Linked DNA regions of Danio rerio. Each later gene encodes a partner of the first gene's protein in a complex. Links are inferred from orthologs where the notes say so. Each region holds a gene or a part of one and is shown in the gene's direction. Other genes may lie near its edges. The genes, in order: tctn1, tmem107l, cc2d2a, tmem216, cep290, tmem67 and ahi1.

The links.
Region 2: tctn1 (region 1) and tmem107l share a complex: the UniProt entries of both Homo sapiens proteins name them as parts of the tectonic-like complex. The link is inferred for Danio rerio from reciprocal best matches to the Homo sapiens genes TCTN1 and TMEM107.
Region 3: tctn1 (region 1) and cc2d2a share a complex: the UniProt entries of both Homo sapiens proteins name them as parts of the tectonic-like complex. The link is inferred for Danio rerio from reciprocal best matches to the Homo sapiens genes TCTN1 and CC2D2A.
Region 4: tctn1 (region 1) and tmem216 share a complex: the UniProt entries of both Homo sapiens proteins name them as parts of the tectonic-like complex. The link is inferred for Danio rerio from reciprocal best matches to the Homo sapiens genes TCTN1 and TMEM216.
Region 5: tctn1 (region 1) and cep290 share a complex: the UniProt entries of both Homo sapiens proteins name them as parts of the tectonic-like complex. The link is inferred for Danio rerio from reciprocal best matches to the Homo sapiens genes TCTN1 and CEP290.
Region 6: tctn1 (region 1) and tmem67 share a complex: the UniProt entries of both Homo sapiens proteins name them as parts of the tectonic-like complex. The link is inferred for Danio rerio from reciprocal best matches to the Homo sapiens genes TCTN1 and TMEM67.
Region 7: tctn1 (region 1) and ahi1 share a complex: the UniProt entries of both Homo sapiens proteins name them as parts of the tectonic-like complex. The link is inferred for Danio rerio from reciprocal best matches to the Homo sapiens genes TCTN1 and AHI1.

The regions. Positions count from the first base shown.
Region 1 is NC_133185.1:8,973,031-8,976,530, reverse strand, and holds part of tctn1 (tectonic-1), read left to right. Parts: intron 1-1,831; coding exon 1,832-1,920; intron 1,921-3,316; coding exon 3,317-3,454; intron 3,455-3,500. UniProt on the Homo sapiens protein: Component of the tectonic-like complex, a complex localized at the transition zone of primary cilia and acting as a barrier that prevents diffusion of transmembrane proteins between the cilia and plasma membranes.
Region 2 is NC_133198.1:31,419,244-31,423,313, reverse strand, and holds the start of tmem107l (transmembrane protein 107 like), read left to right. Parts: upstream 1-1,270; 5' UTR 1,271-1,427; intron 1,428-1,550; 5' UTR 1,551-1,556; coding exon 1,557-1,643; intron 1,644-1,735; coding exon 1,736-1,803; intron 1,804-2,426; coding exon 2,427-2,527; intron 2,528-4,070. UniProt on the Homo sapiens protein: Plays a role in cilia formation and embryonic patterning. Requires for normal Sonic hedgehog (Shh) signaling in the neural tube and acts in combination with GLI2 and GLI3 to pattern ventral and intermediate neuronal cell types.
Region 3 is NC_133198.1:2,308,778-2,312,277, forward strand, and holds part of cc2d2a (coiled-coil and C2 domain-containing protein 2A), read left to right. Parts: intron 1-378; coding exon 379-471; intron 472-1,781; coding exon 1,782-2,012; intron 2,013-2,352; coding exon 2,353-2,509; intron 2,510-2,951; coding exon 2,952-3,088; intron 3,089-3,500. UniProt on the Homo sapiens protein: Component of the tectonic-like complex, a complex localized at the transition zone of primary cilia and acting as a barrier that prevents diffusion of transmembrane proteins between the cilia and plasma membranes.
Region 4 is NC_133189.1:29,311,898-29,316,092, reverse strand, and holds the start of tmem216 (transmembrane protein 216), read left to right. Parts: upstream 1-1,395; 5' UTR 1,396-1,406; coding exon 1,407-1,419; coding exon of another isoform or gene 1,420-1,436; intron 1,437-3,065; coding exon 3,066-3,079; intron 3,080-3,168; coding exon 3,169-3,262; intron 3,263-3,343; coding exon 3,344-3,436; intron 3,437-4,195. UniProt on the Homo sapiens protein: Part of the tectonic-like complex which is required for tissue-specific ciliogenesis and may regulate ciliary membrane composition.
Region 5 is NC_133200.1:18,973,537-18,977,572, reverse strand, and holds the start of cep290 (centrosomal protein of 290 kDa), read left to right. Parts: upstream 1-1,236; 5' UTR 1,237-1,287; intron 1,288-1,601; 5' UTR 1,602-1,675; coding exon 1,676-1,768; intron 1,769-3,216; coding exon 3,217-3,294; intron 3,295-3,462; coding exon 3,463-3,532; intron 3,533-4,036. UniProt on the Homo sapiens protein: Involved in early and late steps in cilia formation. Its association with CCP110 is required for inhibition of primary cilia formation by CCP110.
Region 6 is NC_133191.1:30,685,915-30,690,132, forward strand, and holds the start of tmem67 (meckelin), read left to right. Parts: upstream 1-1,418; 5' UTR 1,419-1,425; coding exon 1,426-1,618; intron 1,619-3,610; exon of another isoform or gene 3,611-3,866; coding exon of another isoform or gene 3,867-3,876; exon of another isoform or gene 3,877-3,940; intron 3,941-4,173; coding exon 4,174-4,218. Other genes in the region: rbm12ba (RNA binding motif protein 12Ba), read right to left, coding at 1-914. UniProt on the Homo sapiens protein: Required for ciliary structure and function. Part of the tectonic-like complex which is required for tissue-specific ciliogenesis and may regulate ciliary membrane composition.
Region 7 is NC_133192.1:9,408,718-9,412,217, reverse strand, and holds part of ahi1 (jouberin), read left to right. Parts: coding exon 1-85; intron 86-3,468; coding exon 3,469-3,500. UniProt on the Homo sapiens protein: Involved in vesicle trafficking and required for ciliogenesis, formation of primary non-motile cilium, and recruitment of RAB8A to the basal body of primary cilium.

The DNA.
Region 1 (3,500 bases):
GCTAATAATTTTGACCTTAAAATGTTTTTTTAAAAAAATTAGAAACTGCTTTTATTCTAGCTGAAATCAAACAAATAAGACTTTCTCTAAAAGAAAAAATATTATCAGACATACTGTGAAATATATATATAATGTATATACGTATGTATATATATGAGTTATGAGTTATTGAAAAGTTAAACAGCCCCTATTATGGGTTCTTAAAAATGACCTTCCATGCAGTGTGTAACACAGCACTAAGTGAATGAAAACATCCAGCTGAGGGTTAAATCTGAAAATGCACTTGGTTTAAAAATAGTTTTTTTTAATAAAAGATTCGACTCAGAGTTTTTTAAATGATTCGTTGTTCGTCGGGATCTTTTGTTTATATCGATGTTTATACCAAATATGAACTACCGGATCCGGTAAATGTGAACGCGCCTTTCCCTTTAGACCTTAGCAGAGTTTGAGGGATCATGGGATTTATCGTGACGGGAAGATTACTATCACTTAGAAATGCCTAGACATGCAGCTCTAGGAAACCACCACACCACCACAGTATAGTCAACCTAGTGCTGTGTTTGTTCCTGTCATTTTCTGATTGATACAATAATCTACACTGCAGTGTGGGGTTTGCTGGCATTTGTTATTAAAGCAAGGATCAGCAAAGACTACTAATGTATGGGATTTTGTTAGTAACTGTTACATAGTTTATATGGACCAGTTCCTTCTTCCTACATAACATGAATTGTGATTAAAATTGTTGCCTCATTTTCTGTAGTTTGCAAAATATGTCTTTAATTGTGTGTTGTAACTTGTAATCGCTCTGCACAGCTGGTAATCACGTACTGTCATAGATCAGTTCTGGTACTGTATCTCTCAGGTTAAATCTGTATGGGGTTATTCACATATCGCGCCCAAAACCACGTTGTAAACGCAACTCATGCTTCTTTTTTTCATACTTTAAATGCATTTTTTGCTCGCAATCTCCTGCTGTTTGTGGCCATGGTCACCACCAGCTGTTCCTCACACGTGTGGAGTGGTCAATTCTTTAAAAATAGTTAAACTTTTGCCACTGTTTGGATACTGAATGTACTGAATGTGTGTCGCTGTTATTACTTAAGGTTAGGGTTAGGAGTAGACTAATATGCTGGGGTTTGGGACAAATAAATCACTGAACAAATCATATGTAAGTCGTTGGGATAATTAGGTAAAAATAAATGCATATTATAAGACAATTAAGGTGTTTTTGACCTATCAGCCTGTTGTTAAAGACCCTCCAAAACCAAAATATGACCTTTTATAATGCATAATAGGGGCTCTTTAAGATGAATAGTTTTGTGTACATTCTCTGATGTCCCCATATACACTGTTAAAAGAGATTAGTTGACTTAAAAAAAAACAAATAAACCTGTTGCCTTACAATTATTAAGTAAACCAACTATGTGCATAATTAAAAATGTTTAGTTAGGTCAATGAGTTTACTGACTTATCTAAAATCAGGTTGTTGTTTTTAAGGCAGCGTAATTAATCACTCTTTAAAGTAACTAATCGCTTTTTACAGTGTATTTGCATGAAATAATATTAATAGTTTTTTGTCTATCCTTTAATTGTACTTGTCTAAGTATTTTCCTTTGCTTTATTTTAATTGTGTATTGTTCTTTTCTTTTAGATTTGTTCCAAATATTTGTTATTTTTATAGTTTTGTGGTGCCTTCTGATTTTCTTGAAATATTTATCCAGAATGTGTTTTACAAATTTTTGTTGTTGTTGTTTTCTTGTTTTGTTTAGATTTTTATTTTAATGTAGCCTTATAAAAACAAAGTAATAATTGTATGTCCATGCTTTGACAGGAGAACTCTCAGACAACAGGGTTGAAATACAGTGGCAATCCTGGCTATGTATTGGGGCGTCCTCTAGTGGCCGGAACAAGAACGGCAAAATATCCTTTATTAGAAACTGTGGACAGATGTCTCTTTTGTAACGAAACGATTATGCCAGCCATTTGTCATCAGCACAGAATATAAGTAATTTATTTCCAAGTTTGGAAAATACCCCATATGTTGAGTATATGGCAACATGTTAATAGTTAATGTCAGTAATTCACAATATTAAAAAATGATGTCCTTCTTATACTTTATTAGATGCAGTGTTACGGATAAAAAAAAATCATTCCCTTTGATTGATCTATGAAAGAAATCAGGACACAGCAGGCCCATAGCCAGGGGTGATTCAAATGGTTTGAAAGACCCACCCCTCACTGACAAAGGTCCAGAATTTGTCCCATACATGAGCTCATTTGTCCTATTTTGACTACTGTGGTATAATAAATTAAAAAAAAAAAAAAAACCTATGAAAATAACCTATTAAATAAGGCTTTAATACCAAGTGGAATTCTGTTTTAGCTGTTGCTTCGGTTTGACTTCCCAAATTCAGCATCCCAAATGACAGTTGAATGTCCTGACCAGTTTGTTGTTTGCCTAATACATAACAGTAGGCTGCAGTTTTTGATTTAAAACACATTTAAAACTACCTATTTTTTTCGAATGATTTATAAAGTGATACATTTGTATTTATAAAATAAGTAAGCTATTGTTTTTATATTTCTTTATTCTAAATCTGGAAATATTTTGGTACATTAAAAAGTGTGGTTGTAATGACCATCTGACAGGTTTATCCAGCCAAAAAAAAAAATGCTTGAAATGTCCCTAAAATGCAGTGTTTAAACCTCATAATTAAATAAAAAATGAGGCGAATAACTGCAAAAAGGTCCACTTTTTGAGAATAAAGAACCATTCTTTTCACCAGGCTGGCTAGGGGCCTGCACAATATTAATATTAAGAAAGGTGTGCTAATGTTTTCATCATCGTAACAGTGTTTAACAAATCCATGCAAATGCTGTCATGCAGGGGGCGAAGCAGTGGCGCAGTAGGTAGTGCTGTCGCCTCACAGCAAGGAGGTTGTTGGCTCGCTGGTTCGAGCCTCTGCTCGGTTGGCGTTTCTGTGTGGAGTTTGCATGTTCTCACTGCATTCGCGTGGGATATCTCCAGGTGCTCTGGTTTCCCCCACAGTCTAAAGACATGCACATGCGGTACAGGTGAATTGGGTAGACTTAATTGTCCGTAGTGTATGAGTTTGTGTGTGTGGATGTTTCCCAGAGATGGGTTGTGGCTGGAAGGGCATCCGCTGCGTAAAAACTTGCTGGATAAGTTGGCGGTTCATTCCGCTGTGGCGACCCTGGATTAATAAAGGGACTAAGCTGACAAGAAAATAAATTAATGAATACTGTCATGCCTGCCAATCCAGCTTTGGGGCACATTCCTTGACTCTTGTTTTACTGGGATAGTTCAGTTTGCAGACCCAAAAGGATCTCTCACTACCATCCAAACATCTGTGGATCAGGATTGCTTGCGTGGCTCTTCTCGTCGCTCGCCTGTCCTATTTGGGATTAACACAATATCAGGTTGCACCTTAAAGTAAGAAGCAACTGTAATAATATTTAATGTTTTTGTAAAGTAGACA
Region 2 (4,070 bases), on another chromosome or scaffold:
TATCACACCCTGCAAATAAAATGGCAAATGTTGTCACCACAATGTAAAAAAAAAAGTCTTCCTAAAACTGTCTATTCTCAATTTCTTAACTCTAAGGTTAATATTTTACTGCCTTCCAGAACAGCAAATGCCCTTGATAGCAAACCACTGAGTTAGTATTTATTTATTATTTACTAGACCAACGACGTCTGGCTGTAGGCTACAGTAAAAACTAATGATTCATTTATTTGTTGATTTGTGAATGCTGAAAACCTGCAACCATTGACATCCATATAGGAAAAACAAATGCTATGGAAGTTACAGGTTTCCAACTTTCTTTAAAGTATTGCCTTTATCGCTTAACAGAAGAAAGAAACTCACAAAGATTTACAACCACTTGAATAAACAGCAAACACGTTTTTATATTTGGGTGAGCTATCCTTTTAACTTATAGGGCTCTTATTACACACGTTTTATGCACTTACTATAATACCAATAAATTATGCATAATCACATGCAAAAACCCATAACCATAGTAAGTACTCCATATCGTTAATTAATGCCACTCAGTACTTTATGCTATAGATACACTGTAAAAATGAGACCGTAAAACAAAAAACAACTTAGTTTGTTTAAATGCATTTCATTTCGAGATTAGCACTGTCGCTTCACAGCAAGAAGGTTGCTGGTTCGAGTCCCGGCTGACATTTCTGCAGATGCTTTTTTCCCTGTGTTTGCTTGGGTTTCCTCCGGGTACTCCGGTTTCCCCCACAGTCCAAGGACATGTGCTATAGGTGAATTGAATAAACTAAATTGGCCATAGTATATGAGTTTGAATGAGTGTGTATGGATTTTCCCAGTGCTGGGTTGCAGCTGGAAGGGCATCCGCTGTGTAAAACATATGCTGGATAAGTTGGCAGTTCATTCCGCTGTGTCGACCACTGATAAATAAAGAGACTAAGCTGAAGGAAAATGAATGACTGAATAAAAGGCTTGTTTAAGACACCTCGAACACCTTGATAGTGCTCCCTATTGACCACAATAATGAAGTCTTTGAAATAAATTTTTTCCAATTGTCTTACTACTTGTCTGCGCTGCCATGTTCCAGTTCACCATTTTCAAGTTATTTCACCTTTAGTACCTGCTCTCAGCCGAAGGAAAATGAATGAATGAACATTTTGAGACATTGTAAAACCAAGTTGAGGACCAGTCAGAAAGCGACTCCTTCCAGCAGGTGACAGCATTGAGCTACTTGTTGGTCTGTTTTGACCATAACCCATTCGCCAAATAGAAGAAGAGTGTTGTCGTAGCAACCCGAAGCTTATATCGAGCGATAACTGTCCTCAAGCTTGATAAACTTATACGCATAGTAGCCTTATATACAGTGCTATATCTACTTTACTGCTCACCATTTGAAAAATCAGGTTTTAACAACTAACGCAAAGCTGGTACGTATACCATTTTGATATACAACCTCACGTTTTGTGAAGATGAACACGTTAAACCTTTAACTGTTAGTCATCCACTTGCACAGTTCAATCTAAGTTATTATGTCTTTCTTCTCTGTCTAGTGTTCAATGTCGGTGGTCAGCAGTCTGGTGCCTGCCCGTTTCCTCACTCTCATCGCGCACCTTGTAATAGTGATAATCATTTTCTGGTCTCGGGTAAGAAGTGTTCTTGTGTGTGTAATTGTTATTTTTATATCACACAACATCACTGCAGCCAGCTGTGTGTTTAAATGTGGAATGACCTACAGGAGTACAGTGTCCGAGCCTGTCTACCACTCGACTACACTAATGAAGAGTACACAGCAGAGGACACACGGTTGGGAAACACACTTTCTCTGTTCTGTATTGCTTCACAGTGGCTAAATGATAATATAATTATTTCGGTCATGTAGTGAGACTGAATAGTATTTTTTGATTCAACTTTATTGTCATTATACATGTACAAGGCAACAAAATGCAGTTGGGGTATACCTAGGAATGCGATAGCATCAAGTGCATGATATATGCACAGTGCTCAGCAAATGAGTACACCCCTTTGAAACAAAACAGATTTATTAAACAGATATATTTATTCAAATAATATTTTAGTCATCAAACATATTTAGAAATTGAAAGATATTACAATTACATTCAAGCAAAATAATCCAAAAAAGAAAAGAAATTACAACCTGCAAGATTTCAACTAAAATAGTCTTTTTTTTTTTCATTCCGCAATACAGAATGTATTTTAATTGTTAATTAAATGTACCTTTTAATTTATGAAACAAAATACTTTAAAATCTTTTGATGGCTTTTCTTGTTTGACCCATTTACAGCATATTATTGTTTGACTGATAGTAAATTGTACATTATTTATATGTAGATGTGAATAATGTTATGGAGTCAGATATAGTAAGTCCTGTTCATGACGCTGTCCTAACCATTGTTTTTGGAATACAGGCTTGTGGTGGCATTATCCGTGACTCTTGGCCTGTTAGCCATCGAGTTGGTTGGGTTTCTCTGTGGAATCTCTATGTTCAACAACAACCAAGCTCTTCTGTGTATCCTTACCAGTAGCACATCACCACTATAGGTTATATATATACTGTAGGTGTTGATGCATATAAATTGTGTATTATTTTCTTATATTTTCATGGATCGGAGTCAAATCTTCAACTTATGATTAACGCAAACAGCTCCCATATGTGTGTCTAGTACTAGTTTCTTACACATCTCATCCAAAGTCTTCTGTTTTGTTCAGATTTTTGACAGTAAATTACCTGAAGTCATGGGTCGTAAAAAATTATATGGAGCTGTAATGTGGTCAAGACCTACCTGGTATATAAAGTCAATCTAGGGCCATATATACAGTTGAAGTCAGAATTATTAGCCCTTTTGAATTATTACCCCCCTGTTTATTTTTTCCCCAATTTCTTTTAACGGAAAGTAGATTTTTTTCAACACATTTCTGAACATAATAGTTTTAATAACTTATTTCTAATAACTGATTTATTTTAGCTTTGCCATAATGACAGTAAATAATATTTGACTAGATATTTTTTAAGACACTTCTATACAGCTTAAAGTGACATTTAAAGGCTTAACTAGGTTAACTGGTTTAACTAGGCAGGATAGGGTAATTAGGCAAGTTATTGTATAACCATGGTTTGTTCTGTAGACTATCGAAACAATATATAGCTTAAAGAGCAATAATTTTGACCTTAAAATGGTGTTTAAAAAAAAAAATGCTTTTATCCTAACCGAAATAAAACAAATAAGACTTTCTCCAGAAGAAAAAACCCTTTTGGAAAAATAATAATTCAAAGGGGGGCTAATAATTCGGACTTCAACTGTACGTGCAAAATAAAATAAAACTTTGCAAACAACAAATAAAGTATTGAGCAAAAAATAAATAAATGTAAATGAAAAAAATAAAAAATACATTTTGCTAACAAAAATAAAGAACTGCAAAGGGGAAAATTGAGAAATAAAAATGAAATTTAAACAAAAAAGGAACTGCAAATAAACATCAAGCAGTAAAAAAACAAAACAAAAAGATTTGCAATAATCAAAAAAAAACTATATATATTTGCAAAACATTTTTATAGCATTGCTTTTACAAAACCTGCCCGGTCAGTTGCAATTGTCATTTTAATTAGATTTTAGTCAACTGTGAGTTTGTGATGCTGTTTTCACTTTGTACTTCACGTTTCTGCGCCTTTCACTTTGTGGCCCTGATTTGACAAGGGGACTGAGTCAAGGGAACTTAGAGGTTTACCTAAGGCCTGCCGTAAACGCCCAAGTTCCCTTGACTCCACCCCTTTGTCAAATCAAAATGAGCATTGCAGTTGACTGGATGGGTTAGGTCAAGGCTAAAAATGTTTTGCAAATATTTATATATTTTTTTTTTCAGTTCTTTTTTTGTTTGCAAATGTAATTTTTATTTTTCAAAAATAAATTTTCCTTTGAATTTTTAAATTTTTGTTAGCAAAAACTATTTTTATTTCTGAAAAACAAGTTTTTGCTTGGGCGAGGCAGTGGCGCAGTAGGTAGTGCTGTCGCCTCACAGCAAGAAGGTCGCTGGGTCGCTGGTTCGAACCTCGG
Region 3 (3,500 bases), on another chromosome or scaffold:
ATACAGCTTAAAGTGTCATTTAAAAGCTTAACTAAGTTAATTAGGTTAACTAGGCAGGTTAGGGGAATTAGGGAAATCATTGTATATTGATGGTTTGTTCTGTAGATCATCAAGGAAAAATTGTGTTTAAAAAATTAAAAACTGCTTTTATTCTAGCCAAAATAAAACAAATAAGACTTTCTCCAGAAGAAAAAATATTATCTGACATACTGTGAAAATTTCCTGCTCTGTTAAACATCATTTGAAAAATATTCAAAAAAGAAGAAAGAAATTTGAAGGGGCGAATAATTCTGAATTCAACTGTATACATTTCTTCTAATGAATGTGAAGTCAAGTTTCAGTGTTTAAAACGAGGTCTGATCTGCTCACCTCCTCTAGATGGATCCAGATCTGCGGGCTGATGAGGACTCCTCTTTTGCTGCCAGGCTGAAGTTTCGTGATGCGGCCAGACGTGCGGTCAAAGACAAGCAGGTGAGAAGCTCCCTAAAGGTCTTGTTATATATGAAGAGGTATAAATGCTCCATGTTCATGATTGCCTTTAAGGCCGTACTCACACTAGGTACATTTGCCTCGAACCAGGCCAAAGCACGCTTGTCCCCCCTCCCGTCTCTTTCGACGGCCCGCACTCACACCACAATCGGGCCTCGGCACGCTTACGTCATCGCTGCTGCGCTGTTCAGTGAGAAGCGCTCTCTCACTCACTCAGCAGCACAGTGGAGATTTCTCTGGTTATATCGTTTCAGTCGGTTTGATATGCAGTGACATGCAGTCAAATATTTCGCCAAACAGTCCTTAGGGATGCGGTGACACGCAGTCAGATATTTCGCCGAACAGATCCGCCACTTTTGGCACTCATAAACAATCATAAAGCCCTCGTGCTGCACGAAAATGGAGGTTTGCTGAAGGTGCAGCTGTCGTGCAGTGAGGGGTTTGTGTATTTAATAAGCTACGGCAGTTTGCGTTCACTGAACAGTAAGAATTAATAATAAATCCATATAAAAACAGCCCCTTAAAAGTCACGTCTCACTTTCAATTTCGGGCTTTGGTGCGTTTTGCACTCACACACAAGCGTACCGTGCCAAAGTCCAAGCGAACCACGCTCAGGCCCACCGCTTCCAACCGGGTCAGGGCCGGCCAAGTGAACCGTGCTTGAGCCCGATTCAGCCCACTCACACTTCTCAAACGATTCGGGAAACGGGCCTGGGCACGGTACGGATGGCATAGTGTGAGTAGTTCACCCAAAAATGAAAATGAAATAAAGTTATGAAATGGACAACATTTCTGATGCTCTCGGCTGCTCTGAACACTTTCTCCGTGCCACTTTAAATCCCAATATGCACTGGGATTCTATATGAATGAGCTGAAAACGCTCGCTGAAATGTGCTAGCGAGATTACGTCGTTTCTCTTCTGCGTCAGATAGAGGTTCGGCATTCAGCAGCTTCTGGAAGACAGTGATTTAAATGTATAATTAAAAAAATATTTGAAATATTCCTGTTACAAAAACACAAATCCACGTTTATAATATGTGTGTTAAACACTTGGTGGCATATAGTTTGCTCCCAGATTGCTGAACTTTTGAAAGCTTAAAAAAAAAGTGCCACAACCAAACACTATTACACAGCATGAAGATCCAGAATAAATGGTAAAACTACTCTGACTGTGTTCATCTGACAGAAGAAAATCATATTCATCCAGGGGAGGAAATAATGTGGTGATTTTCATTGTTTGTGTGACCCCATCCTGAGATCCTGACACTGAAGTGTGTCTGTCTGCTGATCAGGCTGAGGCTGGTTTGCCGACCGCCGAAGAGGCCTACAACTTCTTCACCTTCAACTTTGACCCGGAGCCTGAACAGCAGCGCCAGAAGAAGAAAAGACGCTCCAGGAGAAGAGAGGCAGAGGAGGAAGAAGAGGGAGACTCAGAAGGAGAAGTAGAAGGGGAGGATGAAGAAGGAGAGGAAGTAGGAGAGCTGGAGAGACAGAATGAAGGAGAGGAAGAGTCTGAAGCCAGGGTGACTTATCGTGCTTATCGTGTTTTTAAGCCCCACACTGCAAAAAACTGCTTTTCTTACTTAGATTTTTTTGTCTTGTTTCTAGTCCAAATATCTAAAAGTTCTTAAATCAAGAAGCATTTTCTACACAAGCAAAACATATTGTCTTGTTTTAAGAAATAATACGCCAAAATGAAGTGAGTTTTTCCTTAAATCAAGCTAAATAATCTGCCAATAGGGTGAGCAAAAAAATCTTATCACAAATCACGAAAAACACGATTATTTTGCTCACCCCATTGGCAAATTGTTTTGCTTGAAAATTGATATCCACTCATTTTAATCTGATTCAATCCCTGTCTAGGATGAAGACGACCCATTAGTCGGAGACGAGGAGGATTTGTTCATCATTGACCAATCAGCACAGGACTTCCTGGAAGTGAGGCGAGCGGAGTATGTTGACTACAGCAGGCGACTGCAGAGGGAGCGAGACACGCTGTTTGTTCCCAGCATGAGGCCAGGTACAGAAACCATCACTAAAAGCTGCTCACATCATCTGTATTAGTCACGAAAGTACATGAAATCAAATCTAACCATATTAATGTTGTTAGCTAATATTGCTAGTTTTGTGGTGAACAAATCATCTGTGTTGGTCATTAAGAAAAAAATGGTTTGCCCTTGTAATATTTAATTGATCTTTAATTAGTCTGTAAATGCACTTCCTGTGTGTTTTCAGTTAAATTCCCAGATTATTCATGTCTGATATATTGGGGGTGTGGCTAGCATGCTTAACCACGCCCCCTCCACTTGGGTTTGTTTTAATCCAGGAGTGTAATACTTAGTTAAACCACTGGGTGTCGAACTTGCACCTTTAATAATGGTGATAAATTTGCTCGTTGTAATTGTGATGATATATATTTTCATACAGTTACATCTGTAATCTGTGTTTAATGTGTCACCCAGTGCCAGCCTCCAGTAAGCTGGCGGAGAACACACGTCCACGTTTCCTGGAGGAGGAGGGTCTGTATGTGGGGGAGAGGCCGCACGTCTGCCTGACCAATCTCAACATATTAGAGAATCGAATACTGAAGCAGGCCGAGGTAATTTAGGCCCTGTCCACACTGGTATTCTCAAATCACACTTTTATTCGACGCGGTTTTGTTCACTCGAAAACACAGTGTCAGGTGACTGAACCTGAAACATTCTGAAAACTCCAGCCAGGGTGTAGATTTCCTGAAACTCTGGGTAGAGGGTGGTCATGTGGATGCTACAACTAGAGTTTTTACCTCATAATGTTTTCTCCTTCACACCAAATCACTGACACTGCATCGTCTCAAAGTCATGTTGATCAGCTGGTCTGTCTATGAGCTGACATACGAGTGATCTGCTAATACAGTGGTTCCCAAACTTTTTTCATCAAATACCACCTCAGAAAAAATTGTCCCCCCAAGTACCACAGTATGACCAGTATTGAAATACAGTAGTGCAGTAGGCCTAATTAAGCAACTACAG
Region 4 (4,195 bases), on another chromosome or scaffold:
TTACCAGACGATATAACAAATAACAACCTGCAAAAGTTAGACAGTAATATACAAATGAAGCACACAAACAAAAATATCGTATCTATCGGTCTACCTAACTGACAACATAACAAATGGCATTCATTATAAACAGGCTACTAAAGAAGATAACAGAATACACAAACTAGAAAAATATGGATTCAAAATGCTAAAGTTAACAAGTCGTCTATACAGAAATCTCCATTTCCATCCAACATTCAGTACAATCAACAGTCTAACCGAAGAAAGACGTGGAAAAACTAATATACTACTCTGAAACGATATGACAGAAAGAAATACTAAAATATTTAGTGTATTCAACCAAAATCTCGTCGAAACAACAAAATATAACCTAAAATTATACTTTAAGAGAGATCTTTACATACCGCTAATGTCAGCGATGGCCAGACACTTAATGAAGGTCACACTAGTTTCTCAACGTCATTTTTCGAACACATTCTTTTTTAGAACGCCACTGACTATGGTAACCACAGCAACGCCACCGCACCGCCATCTTATGAGTATTTAAATAATAGCAACTGTGATTCTCTGTTTGACTAAATTTCGTATGTTCATATTCTATTTTGCATGCATATAAGTCTTATTTTTCAGGCATATAGTAAATTTATCTGTATCTAACCTGTATGTCTAAAAATAAAATATAGTTCAGTTTAAGCCACCAGAGAGCACTGTAGCTTCGGTCCGTGAACGGAGGAGCTGCTATTTTATCGGATAGAAAATACAATAACGCTTATATTTAATAACTGATTATAATTGTATGGTGTGAAAAAAAACCTCCAGTTACCTAGAAGAAAGCTCAAACGTGTAATGTGTATTTTATGTTATAAAAAGATATGTAAATGTATACCTTTATCAAAATACTCTCTTTTTTTACAGTTTTATAACAGTTAACAAAAACAGTTTATAAAAAGTAAAGAATCACACCTTATTATTATAGTACAAATTCTATACAATAATGTAGAATAAAAAATACATTATATCTGAATAGAGGAATTAATAATAGCGAATATGAAATAGTAGTGTGCTATGTATAATAATCATAACTATGAATAACACTAATACAACATTGCGTATACTATTGGCTAAAAGGAACGTATAAAAGGTTATTTATTTCAGTGGCAGTGACTGTTTTGCTGCTTAGTGTGCATATGAATATACAGATTATTATATTTATATGAACCGTAAGCTGTGACCGTTACCATTTTGTTTTGACCTTGTGGACTATAGGTGGAAAATGTGTGTGCTTACTACAGAATGTGTTCATTTCTCGCACTTGTATGTTTTTGATCACTGACCCGTTTGCTTGATTTGATTGGATGGCCGATGTTTGTCTCCGCCTACAGTATGCGTGTCCATGGCAATCTAACATGGCTGCCCACGGTAAGCAAAACGGAAATGTTTTGGTTTTGATAGTAAGTTTATTGGTTCACCTTAGTTGCGCATATTTAACTTAAATAAGTGGGCGACTTTAATAAACCAGACCCAGACGTTTTTGAAGAAACAAGCGGACTAATAGAGCAGAATGTGCACTTTTGTTTAGGGTGGAAAGTAGGCATCACGTAGCCGATTTTAGCCATTTAAAGCACGCCTGTCTTTTTTCCAACAAATAGATGTTATTTTTTTTATTATATTCTTGCATAATGATTAACTGCCTGTTGATCTTACTTCAATGCTTAATCTGTGTGTGTTACTTAACCGCGTGTTCACTAAATGTGTTCTCGCACTTGTCAGTATTGTTTTGTACAAATTGTGCTTGTGGGGCAGCTATTGTCTTCAACACTTTAAATGCAACCTATTTATTTTCATCTTTAAAAAGTCGTGTTTTTGAAAAAACATAGGTCTAATGAGAATTTTTATAGATAACCATATTACTTTGCTAAAAATATTGATAACCACTATTACTAGTTAATTGGGGCAGAATACCCGATTAATTTCAACACTGTGTCTTAAAATGAGCTGTATGAAAATCTTAAAAAGGCTGTTAGTTATAGTGGTAGGATGTGTTTACTTTGCAAAAAATCTAATAATATAAAACTCTATCCATTTAATTTTGTAATATACTTTAAAAAAAGCACCTGACATTACTGTCTTATTAACACTACCAACGATGCTGCTCAGGTATTCTCTGTAGATACAACCAACACATTTTAATGAAATTTAAATCTTTCCTTTGTTCTTTAGTCATTAATGTTGTTCACAAATGCTTCATGTCATTTTAAAGGGATAGTTCACCCAAAAATCAAAGTTCTGTCGTGAGTTGTCCTGGTTTCAAATCTATATGAGTTTTTTTTCCTGTTAAACAGAAAAGTAGATCAGTTAAAGAAAGGTCGAAACCTGTAACCATTGATTTCTGTAGTTTTTTTTTTCCCCGATGGAAGTCAGTGGTTACAGGTTTTCAGGTCTTTTCATATTTTTATGTTTAACAGAAGAAAAATAAAATCTTGTAAAAGTTTTGAACCACTTAAGAGTAAGTAAATAGTGATTACATTTTTTTGGGGGGGATGAACTATGCCTTTAAAAGTACACTGTCCTGTAACTTTGTACGTTTATTTCATTTTCAGACTCATCTTTATTTTATACTAGAGTTTGTAATGTAAGAAAACTTTTAACAAGTTGGCCTGGATTATGGCTTGAAACATTTTAACAAAGACTTTTGAGGAAGAAAATGAGCCACTGACCCAAAACAGCATTGTATATGCATGCCATGTGCAATATAGGAAGCTGGTTTGTGAACTCTGATAGGCAAACTGACTGTAATATTGAATGAATGCATACAAATTCACAAACCAGCACATTCTCACCTGTGAAAGATTTATGCTATCTATATTTACACTATCTTTGGTTATAAAAATGTCAGTGGCAGTGCCCCCCTTTTCTTCTACAAGTAGAGACTGCACAATATTGTGGCATCTTGAAAAACTGCATTACCCATTCCAAGATGGCAGATGCATAAATGAGACTAAAGGACTTTTACTTTTAGACCTATGTTATTTTCACTAATTCAGTATTTATTTTCACTTTTGCAGGAAGACAACCTGTTGTATCTTTTCAAGCTGTTTTTTTTTCTTATTATTTACTCGTTTGTCTTTGTTTATTCTGTTGATATTGCTTCTTAACAAAGTACCTCAGTTGTCGTCCACACCACTGCAGATCCTGTTTCATTTGAACGGCTGGTATTTTGCTGCATTTTTCGTTGCTGAGATTCTTATGTTCATTTACAAAGGTGATGTATGGCCTCTTGAAATATTCTGAAAATTTGTGATTTTATTTGTCAAGTAATCACTGTTTGCTCTGACATTTGTAGGAGTGATACTCCCTTACCCACAAGATAATCTGATATTGGATGTTGTCCTGCTGCTCCTCTTCTCTGGCCTTGAAACACTCAGACTTTTCTATGGTCAGTGCCTTATAAAGTTGTTTAATCTGCTTTAGTTTGTAGAATCGTTCAGTTAGTGCACTGAAATTATGCTCAGTCAGAACTTCAGAAGACCTTGTGAAGCAGTGTTTGACGATGCTCAAAATTTAGCAATAAATAAAGTGTGCATTAGTCGGGCCTGCTTCTTCAGCAGTGCTAGTTCTAGAAGTGTTTTTTTCTTCCCCATAGGACTTTATAAAAATGTTTTTTGAAAAGTGCTACAGATTTTTGAGCTGATCATTCCGTCAATTAATTAACTTACTCAAACGTGTTTTGTTACAGTTTTTATGTTATCTTCTTTGGGATTATTGAATAATATGTAAATGTCTAGACGATTTGAGATACTATATAAAACTATAAACACAATAACTTGTCTATAGAGAACAGGAATTTGACGTAACTGTGTAATGCATTCTGGGTGTTTAGCACAAGAAAGCCTGATTCCCATTGATCTCTACTGATTTTTTGTATCATATATATACACTCATCGGCAATAAACAGGAAGTGTTTGTACTACAGGTAATGAAGAAAATCATATATGCAGATGTTTTCTTGCTGCAGCTTGGGTAACTTTTAAGATTGTTACTTTTACTTGAGTATAAATTTTGTATACTCTACCCACCTCTGAAAGTAATACTGGTAATAATTTTCAACATCTTTTAGTGGATGCATTATATGAGATGCCTACCGCAGCTTAGTTTTAGGGATAGTAGAATAAATCAATGCACTGTGAATCAAGAA
Region 5 (4,036 bases), on another chromosome or scaffold:
AGCTGGGACTCGAACCAGCGACCTTCTTGCTGTGAAGCAACAGTGTTCAATTATATTATTTATGTTTAATACATTTTCACTATTTAAGGTTCCTGTAATTTTGATGTGGTTTTATCATTGTGATTGGTTTTGTTTATTTTACATAAAGCTGAAAGAAAATGTTAGAACCTCTAAATGAAAACTAGAATTGATACAGGTAAATGTATTTTTTGTTAAATTATCAAAATGACTACAATTTACTTGAAGCATACTAATGAAGTAACTAATTGAAACATAAAGAAATACTATAACAGTGTTTAGATAATACTAAAACAATAATGAGAAGTAAATGTACTTTGTGAATGTTTTAGACCAGATCGGACATATAAATAAATAAACATACATACAAATACATAATCGTCAATCTTTCAATATTTCATTCATTTCGATGACCTTTTCCATCCCTGGAAAACCTTTTAAAAGCCTCAGAAATTGTATATAACCTTTCTAAAACAAGTTTATATTAGAATACTGCATTACGTCCTTAAGCAGCTACGAAATGCAGCAATAAAAGAGCAGATTAATCGCAGTAATAATGGGATAATCTGTGTGGACTGAGCGGAGCAGAGAGGGCGCAGCCTCACAGATCATATGCTATCAGTTAGCATTTGTTTTACATTCAGATCAATCGATTAATTAACACATTACAGTCAGAAAATAAAACATCGACACAACAACCAAGCGTAAAAAATAAGCTACATTTTAGTGAAAATAAAAAGACAACTGGACACATAAAAGACTGCTGGGTTTAAAGAACAAACATAACTTCAGCTGTGCTTTTAGCATTCACTGGTTTCAGTCATTTCACAATATCTTCTCTGTCAGCAGTCATCGCTAGGATGTAATTAAAGCAACTCACCTTGTCATGTCTGGGGAAAAGCTAAATGAAAAGAGAATATGTTTGTTTATGTTGACTAAAGCAGCAAGTTCGATCCACGGCATTGAATTAACAGAGTCCAACAACTGCTTCCGGGTCAAAATGCCTGGCACAACAAAAGTAGGGAATTACAGAGTAGCCGTTCGCGGATTTTGTGTTTCTGTAATGCCATTTCAAATAACGTATAGACACAGATAGATATATGGTTTTAGTTGTGATTCCCTTATAATGAATGGACCGCGTATAAAGGAAATATTTTTTTTAAAAAGAATCCAAACAGAGACAATTTTACGACGTTACGTTTTACGACTGTTTTCCTTGTTGCCTAGCAGCAGCGGGAGCGCAAGAGGAACCCAAGATGGCTTAATAAGGTCTGAAAACGTTATTTTCAGTGTCTTTAGTTTCACAAATATGTGTAAAAGTTGACATTAAGACGTGTTCAAATTTAGGTTTATGCTAACGAACAAAACCAACCCAAATACGAGCAATTGCATGCATTTCTAATTATCGACATTGTGAGAACTAACTAACGTTATATGTCTGGCTAATATATTTAGCATGGCGTTTTGTCGTGTATTTATTATTCTGCTATGACTCTTTTGTGCTGTGACGGTATATGGTGTTGTTTTCAATGAGAAGTCCGTGTGAAGAAATAAACTACATTCGTTTTGCATGTTGTCTGTAGGTAGAAAAAGACTGGCAATCTCAGCATCAGTTGTTCAGTTCAGCTCTGGGGGACATTTGCAGCTGACCTGAAGAATGCCTGCGGCCGCAGACTGGCGGCTCCTCATGGGAATGGATCCAGAGGATCTGGGGGATGAGGATGAGAAGATCTGTGATTTGATTTTAATGGTAATCTGACACGTTTGAGGCACACTAATTGTGAGGAGTGTAGCTAGATGTTACAACAATCTGCAACTACAATACAACAATCTGGAGTTGCAATTATTAAAGAAACACTTATATATATATATATATATATATATATATATATATATATATATATATATATATATATATATATATATTTTTTTTTTTTTTTTTTTTTTTTTTTATATTTTTTTTTTAATGATCACACACACAATATGTGATCATTAAAAAATGTATTTTAGACTCAACATTCTTGAATAGAATTATGGTTGTGTAAATTAGTGTTTCTGAAACACATTCCTGTGGGACCACCATCATTGCATGTTTTGGGTGTCACACTCATAACAGATAGAGGTAAAGTTGGTTTTATATTTGGATATTGAGACATTCTCATTAGTAATATAATTTAGATAACTTCTTTGCAAATTTTTAATAGAGAAATCTTATTAGCAGCAAATAACTATCAAAGTACAGCATTGTTCACAGTGAATTAGATAGTGTTAATGTTGATTAGGAGTCATACGAATATTCAAAGTAACATGGTAAACAATTTAGGGACTTCTAAATGAACGAATGTGCGAAAAGAAAACCAACTTTACCTCTATCCATTACAGGCCTTTCAGTCTACTAATGAGCTAATGATTTGAATTTGGTGTGTTTGGTTAAGAAAACATGGAAAATGTGCAAGGCTGGTGGTCCTCTTGGAACGTGGTTGAGAAACACTGGTGTATATAACTCATTCTGATATCACCCAATATGTTTTTAGTACAGTGGAGGGTAAGATAAACATAATTAGTAAGGACAAATTACATATTTTTTCTATTTTGTTAAACCGTTGTTTACTGAATAAATTGCATCTGTTAATCAGTTATAACTGCAATTTATTTTTCACAAAATATAAATATGTTGTAAACTATACTGGGAGCTTTATTACTTACACATTTCTATCATTTTAAACGCTACAATTAACAACAGGACTCAGACTGTGCAAAATAAATTAAATTATATGCAATAGTTAAAATGGCACTTTAGACAGTTTTTTCATTTATACATATTTATTTACACATACTATATATATTGGATATATACTTGATCAAAAGAGATTTGGTGTATGTTTTTATATTTATATATTTGTTTGTGTTTTCTGGTTTTATTTTTTTAGTAAATAAATGATAAAATTATATTTAACTACTAGTAATACAAACTATTTAGTGTGAATATGTGAAGTTACAAACTTAATGCTCAGTTATTGTGTGTGTTTGTGGTTGCATGTTCAAAAAAATATTTATTGTTTATTCTTTCAAGCCAAACCACAGAGCATCTCCAGCCTCAGGTCTTGCTTTCAGGCTAACATCCGCTTATCGGAATGTTTAAGGAAGAAAACATTCTTCTTGCAAATTTGTCTGATAATAAATTTCTTTTGCATACAGGTCAAACCACGGGACCTAAAAGCAGATGATTCTGAGAAAATGATTCAACTCTTTAGGATCTCACAAACCCTTCTGAGGGTAGGGCTGATTCATCATTTACGCAATGTTTGCAGCACTGCGTACAGTAGTTATGTAGTAGTTAACATTTACCAGATTTCTTTTAATTATGTTGTATGGTCATTGAATTATCATGAGCATTTGTTGTTATGAATCAGTTAATGTTATTATTTATGTTTGGGTTTTTAGATGAAACTGGATGAAATTAAATGTGCCTATGAGGTTGTAGACAGCGCAGGGGCAGAACAAGCAAGAATTGGTATGTATAATCATTGCTAGGTTTTAAGCATCTCCAGAACAAATCACAGCATGTGAAAACGCAGCATGGAAAACGCAAAAAAAAAAAGAAAGTAGTGATTTCCAAATTTGCTTTGACTTGTATTTCATTGCAGACAATATAAACACAAAATATTTCATGTTTTGTCAGGTCAATTTCAATTTCATTTAAATATGCATCCCTTCCTGTCATTCATACCTGCAACACATTCCAAAAAAGTTGTGACAGGAGCAGTTTAGGGATGATAATCTGGTAAATTGGTTAAATATTGATGTGATTTGAAACAGGTAGTGTCAACAGGTGATTGTAATTATGATCTGGTACAAAAACAGCATCCAAGAAAGGTCTAGTCCTTTAGGAGCAAAGATGGGCGGGGGATCGCCACTTTGAAACAAACACATAAGAAAATTATTAAAATGTTTAAAAACAAGGTCCTCAAAGAAAGATAGGAAGACATTTGAAAATTTCACCTTCAGTGCAAAACAT
Region 6 (4,218 bases), on another chromosome or scaffold:
CTTTTATTAGTGAACGCTCTCACTGCATTTCGATTGTTGTTGGCCTCATTTTGCTCCGAGGAGGAGTGTGGTTTAAGGTTTTGTGTGCAATTTTTAGACTCCTCCACAGCATCAGTCCACATTTTTTCATGGGCAAGTCTGACTTCAACGTTGAATTCTTTGAATTTTCTGTGACTGTATTTTAGCCCTTCTTCTGCATCTGAAAAACTGGCCAGCTTCACAAGACAGCACCAGCCCAGTTGCAGTCTAACTTTTGTAATGACCTCCAACACTGGGAGTCCCCGTAAGAACTGAAAAATCTCTTGTTTGGCTACACAGTCGGGAAAGCCATAAAGCCGGAGGTAGCCTGGCTTACTTAAATTGAGATTCTCTCCTCTGCCTGTCTGCTGCTCCGTAGATGCCAATTCATGATTGAGACTGTGCTGTGCATCTGTATTCATTTGTTTTCCAGTTAACGGCCATGTTTGCATTTCTGGAGAATTCTGGTTGACATTTCCAGGTGTTTGCTGAGTTTGACCTTGCTGATTATCTTTGTTGTTTGAATGCAGTCCATAAATGGCACCCATTAAACTAAGCAAAAGAGCAGCATTGGTGTCAGTGGGAGATGATGGCACCACGTTAGTCTCCAATTCTGTGGGCTTTGGCTTTTTTAATCTTGACTCCATTTTTCTCTTCAGCTCAGCCACACTACTGATATGCAATGAAACAGAGGAGCCCTTGAGTGTTTTCCCAGAGTAGCGCATGGCTAATTGACCTTCTCTCTCTGTTTTGAAAATAATGAATGCTTCACCCATCTCGCCTCCGATAATATGAACACCGCCCTCGGGTATGTGCAAGCCATGGAAAAATCTGCGGATATCTTCAGATCCTGCCTCTGTGTTTAACCCTTGTAAACGCAGAACCACTACGGTCATGGTGAGGGTCTTCTTACAAACCAGTTGAATCTGTAAAAAAAAAAAGAAAGAAAAAAAGAGTTTCATGACCAAAGTTTTCTATTTTAACACACACACACACAAAACAAAAACACTCACTGTACAAACTACAAGCAAACTCCTCTTGGTTATAAAAAAGCAAAGAAAGGACTTCCACCACCAAACAATCATACTATTGTTGCTTGACTAAAGTAAAATAGTTTTCTCCTCCTTCTTCCAAACGGTCATTGTCTATGGGCTCGCGCGTACTTACCGTTTTGTTTCTTTTTTTCTTAAAAAAAAAAGGAAAACCTCAATATAAACGCTTCTCTACGCACGCTTTGCTTTTTTTCTGTCAGCGGAAAGCACGAGGTGCTCATGCAAAGAGCAGAGCGCATATGTCCGGCGGGAAAGCTCAACTTCCTCTGGTAGAGACTTGAGAGCGTGCACATGTGACACGCCTTCTCACGTAAACGTGAAGAATACGTCATCAAGCGTCATCTGATCCTGCACCATGGCGACGGGGACGCGGAGCGCCTTGTTGTATAGTGTCTCCATTATAATTCTGTTAAAAATAAGCGTTTTCTCCTGCCAGCAGTTCTCCATATCATTTCGACAGCCTTCTGACTGTGGCGTTAACAGCTATTTTGATATTTCGAGCCTGTCTTGCGTGAAATGCGGGTCAAATCAAGTCAGCAGCAAATCAGGTAACGTTACACGAGCGCATGCACAGATTAGTTTGTTTGTTTTGATCGACCTAAGTTAACGTGCAGATGGTTGATTGTACACCAAGCAACGGTCAATTTATTGCTGTATCTGTTGCTAATGTAACTTAGATATACACGAATACGCGTCTTGTGAGCTAACGTTAGTCTGCTATGCGCGAGCTAATGTTTTCATTAGCATGCGTGCAGATGATTCACTTAAAAGATTATTACTCTCATGAATGAAGGTAGAATTATCGAAAGATACGACCGTTTTAGTGCACAGAACAATCGAAATGCTTAAAGAACTTTCAACTTGTAAAATAGATATTTATTCTGGTTTATTCTTCAATATGATTAACATGTAGATATTATATTAAAGTATATAATATTATATATAAAATAAGTGACACTGGTCACAAAGTGAAGCGAACCCAGCAAACAATTTTGTGTTTAATAGACGTCTAATAGATTTCTAAAGGTAGACAGTTTGGCTAAAACAAGTCTAACGTTAAACTTGGGCTGTCAGTGAAAATCTAATATCCATCTAGGAATAGCTCAAAACTAAACTAGTCATCAAAAAGACAGATTAAACAGACTTTGTGTCGTCATTTATTTCTGTTTATTTGATAACTAGTCTAGTTTTGGCCTATTAGACGTCTATTATAGATTTTCACAGCCCAAATGTAGCCATGTTTTAGCCAAGACGATTGTATTTAGACATCTTTTAAAAACAAAAAATTCTTGCTGATAAGTGACACAAAACTATGTATATATTTGGCTGCAACCAAATTATTGTTTTTTTCTATTGTGCTAAAATCATGAGATAATTAAGTAAAGATCACGTTCTATAAAAACATAAAAAAAAGTCTTACTATAAATATATACAAACTATGTTTGATTAGTAATAAGCATTGCTATGAACTTAATTTAGACTAATGAACTTATTTATATATATATATATATATATATATATATATATATATATATATATATATATATATATATATTATTTTTTTTTTTTTACCATCAGATTGCTGATTTTCAAATAGTTTTGTCAACCAAATTCTAACCTATTCAAGGGCGTAGAGTTGCTTTTGATATTGGTGGGGACTTCGGAGCACAAAAACTGAACCTTGAGCGTTCTTTCACTATTTTAAAACCATAAATAAATTAAATTAATAATATAAAAATCACTTTAAGTCAACCATGTCTCATGCTGCAAAAAGTAAATGCAAATATTTTACTTTGCAGAGAAATGAATGCAGACGTCTGAAAAGGAGGAGGCATGTGATGCGTTAACCATTTTATTCTGATTGTTGTTTGATAATAGAGAGAAATTTATTTTATTTTGGAGCTGATTAAATTATTGCTGGGGAAATTTGAATAATTCTGGAGATTTGGATAATTGGTGGAGACATGTCCCCTCCATATGTGCTATTTATACACCTTGGTCCTAACCTAAAAAAATCACACATCAAAGATTATTCGGTAAGATTGTTACATGTCCCTGGGATTTGTGAAGACTGTAAGCAAGCAGTAGTCTTAGTAATAAGTCAGAGAGACAAGAGTTAGTTGTTGTTTCACTCTTTGTTGTCTTATTACACATTCACATTTGTATGTTAGAGTCAGTAAGATACGTTGGTTCACAAAATTATTCATAAACATGTTGCATAAAATAGTCCGCACTGTATAATTACTTGAATCAACTCACTTCACAATAAATAAACAAAAAAATAACAACATGAAACCTTAACCATTTGTACAGAAATGCTAGAATCTTTGTCACTGACTGAATTCAAATTACTGTGTCAGGAAGACAAGTTAAGTATTTACAGTAAGTGATATACCCAAAACCTGAATACATCAAATCAAATCACACTTAAAATTAAGACATCTTAAAATTATTAATAAAATAATCAGGTAAAATTAGTTATTTATACATTAAAGCATGTGTATTATAGTTTTATATGACAGTTAGTTAATTTAACTAACCTTAGTAATAAGTGAGAGAGACGAGTTAGTTGTTTCTTCATCACGGTCCTCTTTGTTGTCTAAGGATGTGCTGCAGTCGTCATGGTAACTCAACTCTCAACTGCCACTCAGAATTCAAAAAATGCAGCTAAACTGTGTAGTGCAAACTCACTATAATTGTATTGGAGTAATTTAAATACAGTGTATGTAACCCCCCTGGTCCTACACCACCCAACCCGTTCCGAGCTGGGCTGGGCTCAAACCGGCAACCTTTCGCATGGGAGTCGGTTGCTCTAACAAAGAGATTAAAGACCATGGCTTCTAGGATCTGTCGCTAGAGCACCTTTAGAGGTCAGAGGAATGAGGTTTACCTGTACAGCACTTACTAGCTGCCCTCCGTTACGTATATACACATAGAAATAGACAAATAAAAGTGAAATATATATTCAAATAATTTTCTTAAGATGATATGTATAAATCTCATTATATATAAAAATCTCAAGTTAAAATATCGAGACTTATGACTGGTTTTGTGGTCCTTAGTAACATATGTGAACTTTTTTTGTGTTATTTTCACTGTATAGGACTGGCATGTGAGTGTCAGGCTGGTTCCAGAGTGCTGGTCAGTA
Region 7 (3,500 bases), on another chromosome or scaffold:
CGAGGTTTTGAAGAGATACACAAACCCTCCATCTGAGAAAAAGAAAGCCAAACAGATCTCTGACCAGTCTCAGGAAATTATCGTGGTTAGTAATAATTCATTCATTCATGTATTTATTTATTTATTTTTGGCTTAGTCCCTTTTTTAATCTGGGGTCGCCACAGCGGAATGAACCACCATTTTATCCAGCAGATGTTTTACGCAGTGGACGCCCGTCCCATCACTGGGAAACATCCATACAAGCTGATTTACACACATACACTTCGGACAATTTAGCTTACCCCAGTGGTTCTCAAACTTTTTTCATCAAGTACCACCTCAGGAAAAAAAATTGTCTCTCCAAGTACCACCAAAATGAGCAGTATTGAAATACAGTAGCGTAGTAGGCCCAGTAAAGCCGCTACAACTCTGCAAAGTAAACAAAAAAAAAACGTGGCAGATTACCTCAGAAATCTAGGCTATTTGTCATATTGGCATATTATATACATAATTTTTGATAAATTTTGAAATGTGTGTAGCATGTACATGACATATTTAATTCCTCCGCGTACCACTAGAAGGAAGCCTGCGTACCACTAGTGGTACACGTACCACAGTTTGAGAACCACTGGCTTACCCAATTCACCTGTAGCACATGCAAACACGGGGAGAGCATACAAACTCCACACAGAAATGCCAACTTCTTGCTGTGAGGTGATTGTGCTACCCTCTGCTCCACCGTGCTGCCCGTTTAGTATTGAGGAAGGTAAAGCTGGTTTTATGTTTGCACATATTGACTTTCTCCTTAATAATATAATTTCAGAAAAGTTTTTTTTTTTTTTGCTTTTTACATAGTGAAATCATATTAGCAGCCAATGACTAGCAAAGTACAAGTGTTTACTGTCAATTAAATAGTGCTAATGTTGTTTTTAAGTCTTACATACTTGCATGAGATCTCAGACTCAATATTCAACGTACCATGGTAAACAATAAAGGGAGCATGCCACAAGTTGTCACTGAACAAATGTGCAAATATAAAATAAACTTTACCTCAGAAATTTAGTTTTGAAGCCATATTTGATTCAGATGAAGTCATACTTGATTCACTTTCAGAGCGAATGTTCAAAGTAACATGGTAAACAATATAGAGACCATGTTACAAGTTGTCACTAAGTAAACAAATGTTCGAATATAAAGCCAAATTTACCTCAGTGTAATAATATTTGCAAATGTCAACCTTGCCATCAAACAAGCACCAAATTAGCAAAACCCTTTTATAAGTTGTATGTGTTGACTTGCATTTTATTTCATTGACCAAATTCACACAAGTGCCAGCTTCACAGATGTCACATCCGTAATGAAGCATATTCGTTAAGGAAAATTCAAAGTGTGATAGGAGATAATTCCCATCCTCTGAAGCCTTTTTTTGTACTGTTGCCCCTTGGATGAAGGTTTAGAAGCATTAATGCTCTTCTAACAGATAGAAATTCACCTTTGTTCCTGAGGCAATAAGGCTTATTAACCTTACATTTTAGCAAGTGTTAAATTTAATGTACGAGTCCTTCCTGTTTTTTTTAGTACCATTTATGAAATTATGCTGTATTGTGTTTTTTAATGTTGTTTGTAAGTGATTTGTCTCTTTATGTGTTTGTTATATCATGATGCTACTGCCCTAATTTAATTGCCCCTGGTGGGATTAATAAAGTTGTTAGACCTAAACTTATTCTACATAAATGCAAAAAAAAAAAAAAACATTCTTATTACACACACACACACACACACACACACACATATATGTGTGTGTGTGTGTGTGTGTGTGTGTGTGTGTGTGTATATATATATATATATATATATATATATATATATATATATATATATATATATATATATATATATATATATATATATATATGAGCAATATCGCACGAGTTGCAGTGCGATATGGCTGTATATCGGCACTGGTGGGAGGCGTGCCGATATACAGCCATATCGCACTGCTAAGAGTGTGATATTGCGTTTATACAACAGTTTTACGATATAATTGTGTATATAAAAACAAAATCAAACATGGAGAGTCTTAAAAACCCTTTTATATGAGGAACTACTTTCTTCCGGATTCAAATCATAAGCTGACAGTTAAACAGTTGAGTGTGCATCTTTTAAACTTTAGATCTGTAGTGTCTGCTTTTTGCTGGCTGTATGTGGGCGGAGTAATACACAAAGGGTAAAGAGGCTGAAGGAGTTCTGATATTGCAGAATATCGCACGGCTATCAGCCAATCAGATCTGAGAACCAGACAGAACTGTTGTATATATATATATATATATATATATATATATATATATATATATATATATATATATATATATATATATATATGAATATAAACTGAGGATATTATATGTCAAAATAATCTGTAAATGTTTTATATTTTAATTGAGGTAAATAAACATTCATTATGAATGTGAATCAAAAAGTACACAAGTTTGTAGTTATAATAATATGTAGAAATTCTGTGAATTAAATGTACATCTATATTTTTTGTTCCACAAAGAGGCGACTCTTATCTCTTTAATAAGTATTATTTATTTTTGGTTGTGCAGTTTAATTTACAGAATTTCTACAGATTATTTTGTAAACTGTAAACTCGCATACTTTTTGATTCACATCCATAATCAATATTTTTTTTACCACTTAATAAAAATAATAATTCTTTACACATATATAGCGCTTTTCTAGGCACTTAAAGCGCTTTACATAATGGGGGGAATCTCCTCATCCACCACTAGTTGGCAGCGTCCACCTAAATGACGCAACGGCAGCCATATTGCGCACCACACACCAGCTGATTGATGGAGAGGAGACAGAGTGATGAAGCCAATTATGGTTATGGTTAGGAGGCCGTGATGGACAGAGGCCAGTGGCCAAATTTGGCCAGGATGTCGGGGTTACTCTTTTTTTCGATGAACATCCTAGGATTTTTAACTACAGAGAGTCAGGACCTCGGTTTAACATCTCATCTGCTCACTGAGCAGTGTAGAGTCCCCTTCACTATACTGGGGCGTTTGGACCCACACAGACCGCAGGTTGAGCGCCCCCTGCTGGCTTCATTAACACTACTTCCAGCAGCAACCTAGCTTTACCATGTAGTCTCCCATCCAAGTACTGACCAGGCGCAGCCCTGCTTAGCTTCAGTGGGCGACCATGTGGGAGTTGCAGAGAGCTAACTGCCGGCTATAAATATAAAATATATAACATTAACAGATTTTTTTTACAGACATCTCAGTTTTATAATATACTCATTTTTTTATTTTTTATGTTTCAGAATGTAAACATATACATCCTCAGCAAATTTAGTTTCAAGTTTTTCATGCAAATATCACATCCACAATGCTGGAATTGCTCATGTAATCTTTATTTGAACCAGAAAAATGTTGCTCATTGAAAAATAATCACTGTAAATATTAACTTAATCGCGTTTTCTTTCAGCTTCAGACCTTAAAGAAGAACCTAGATTTGAG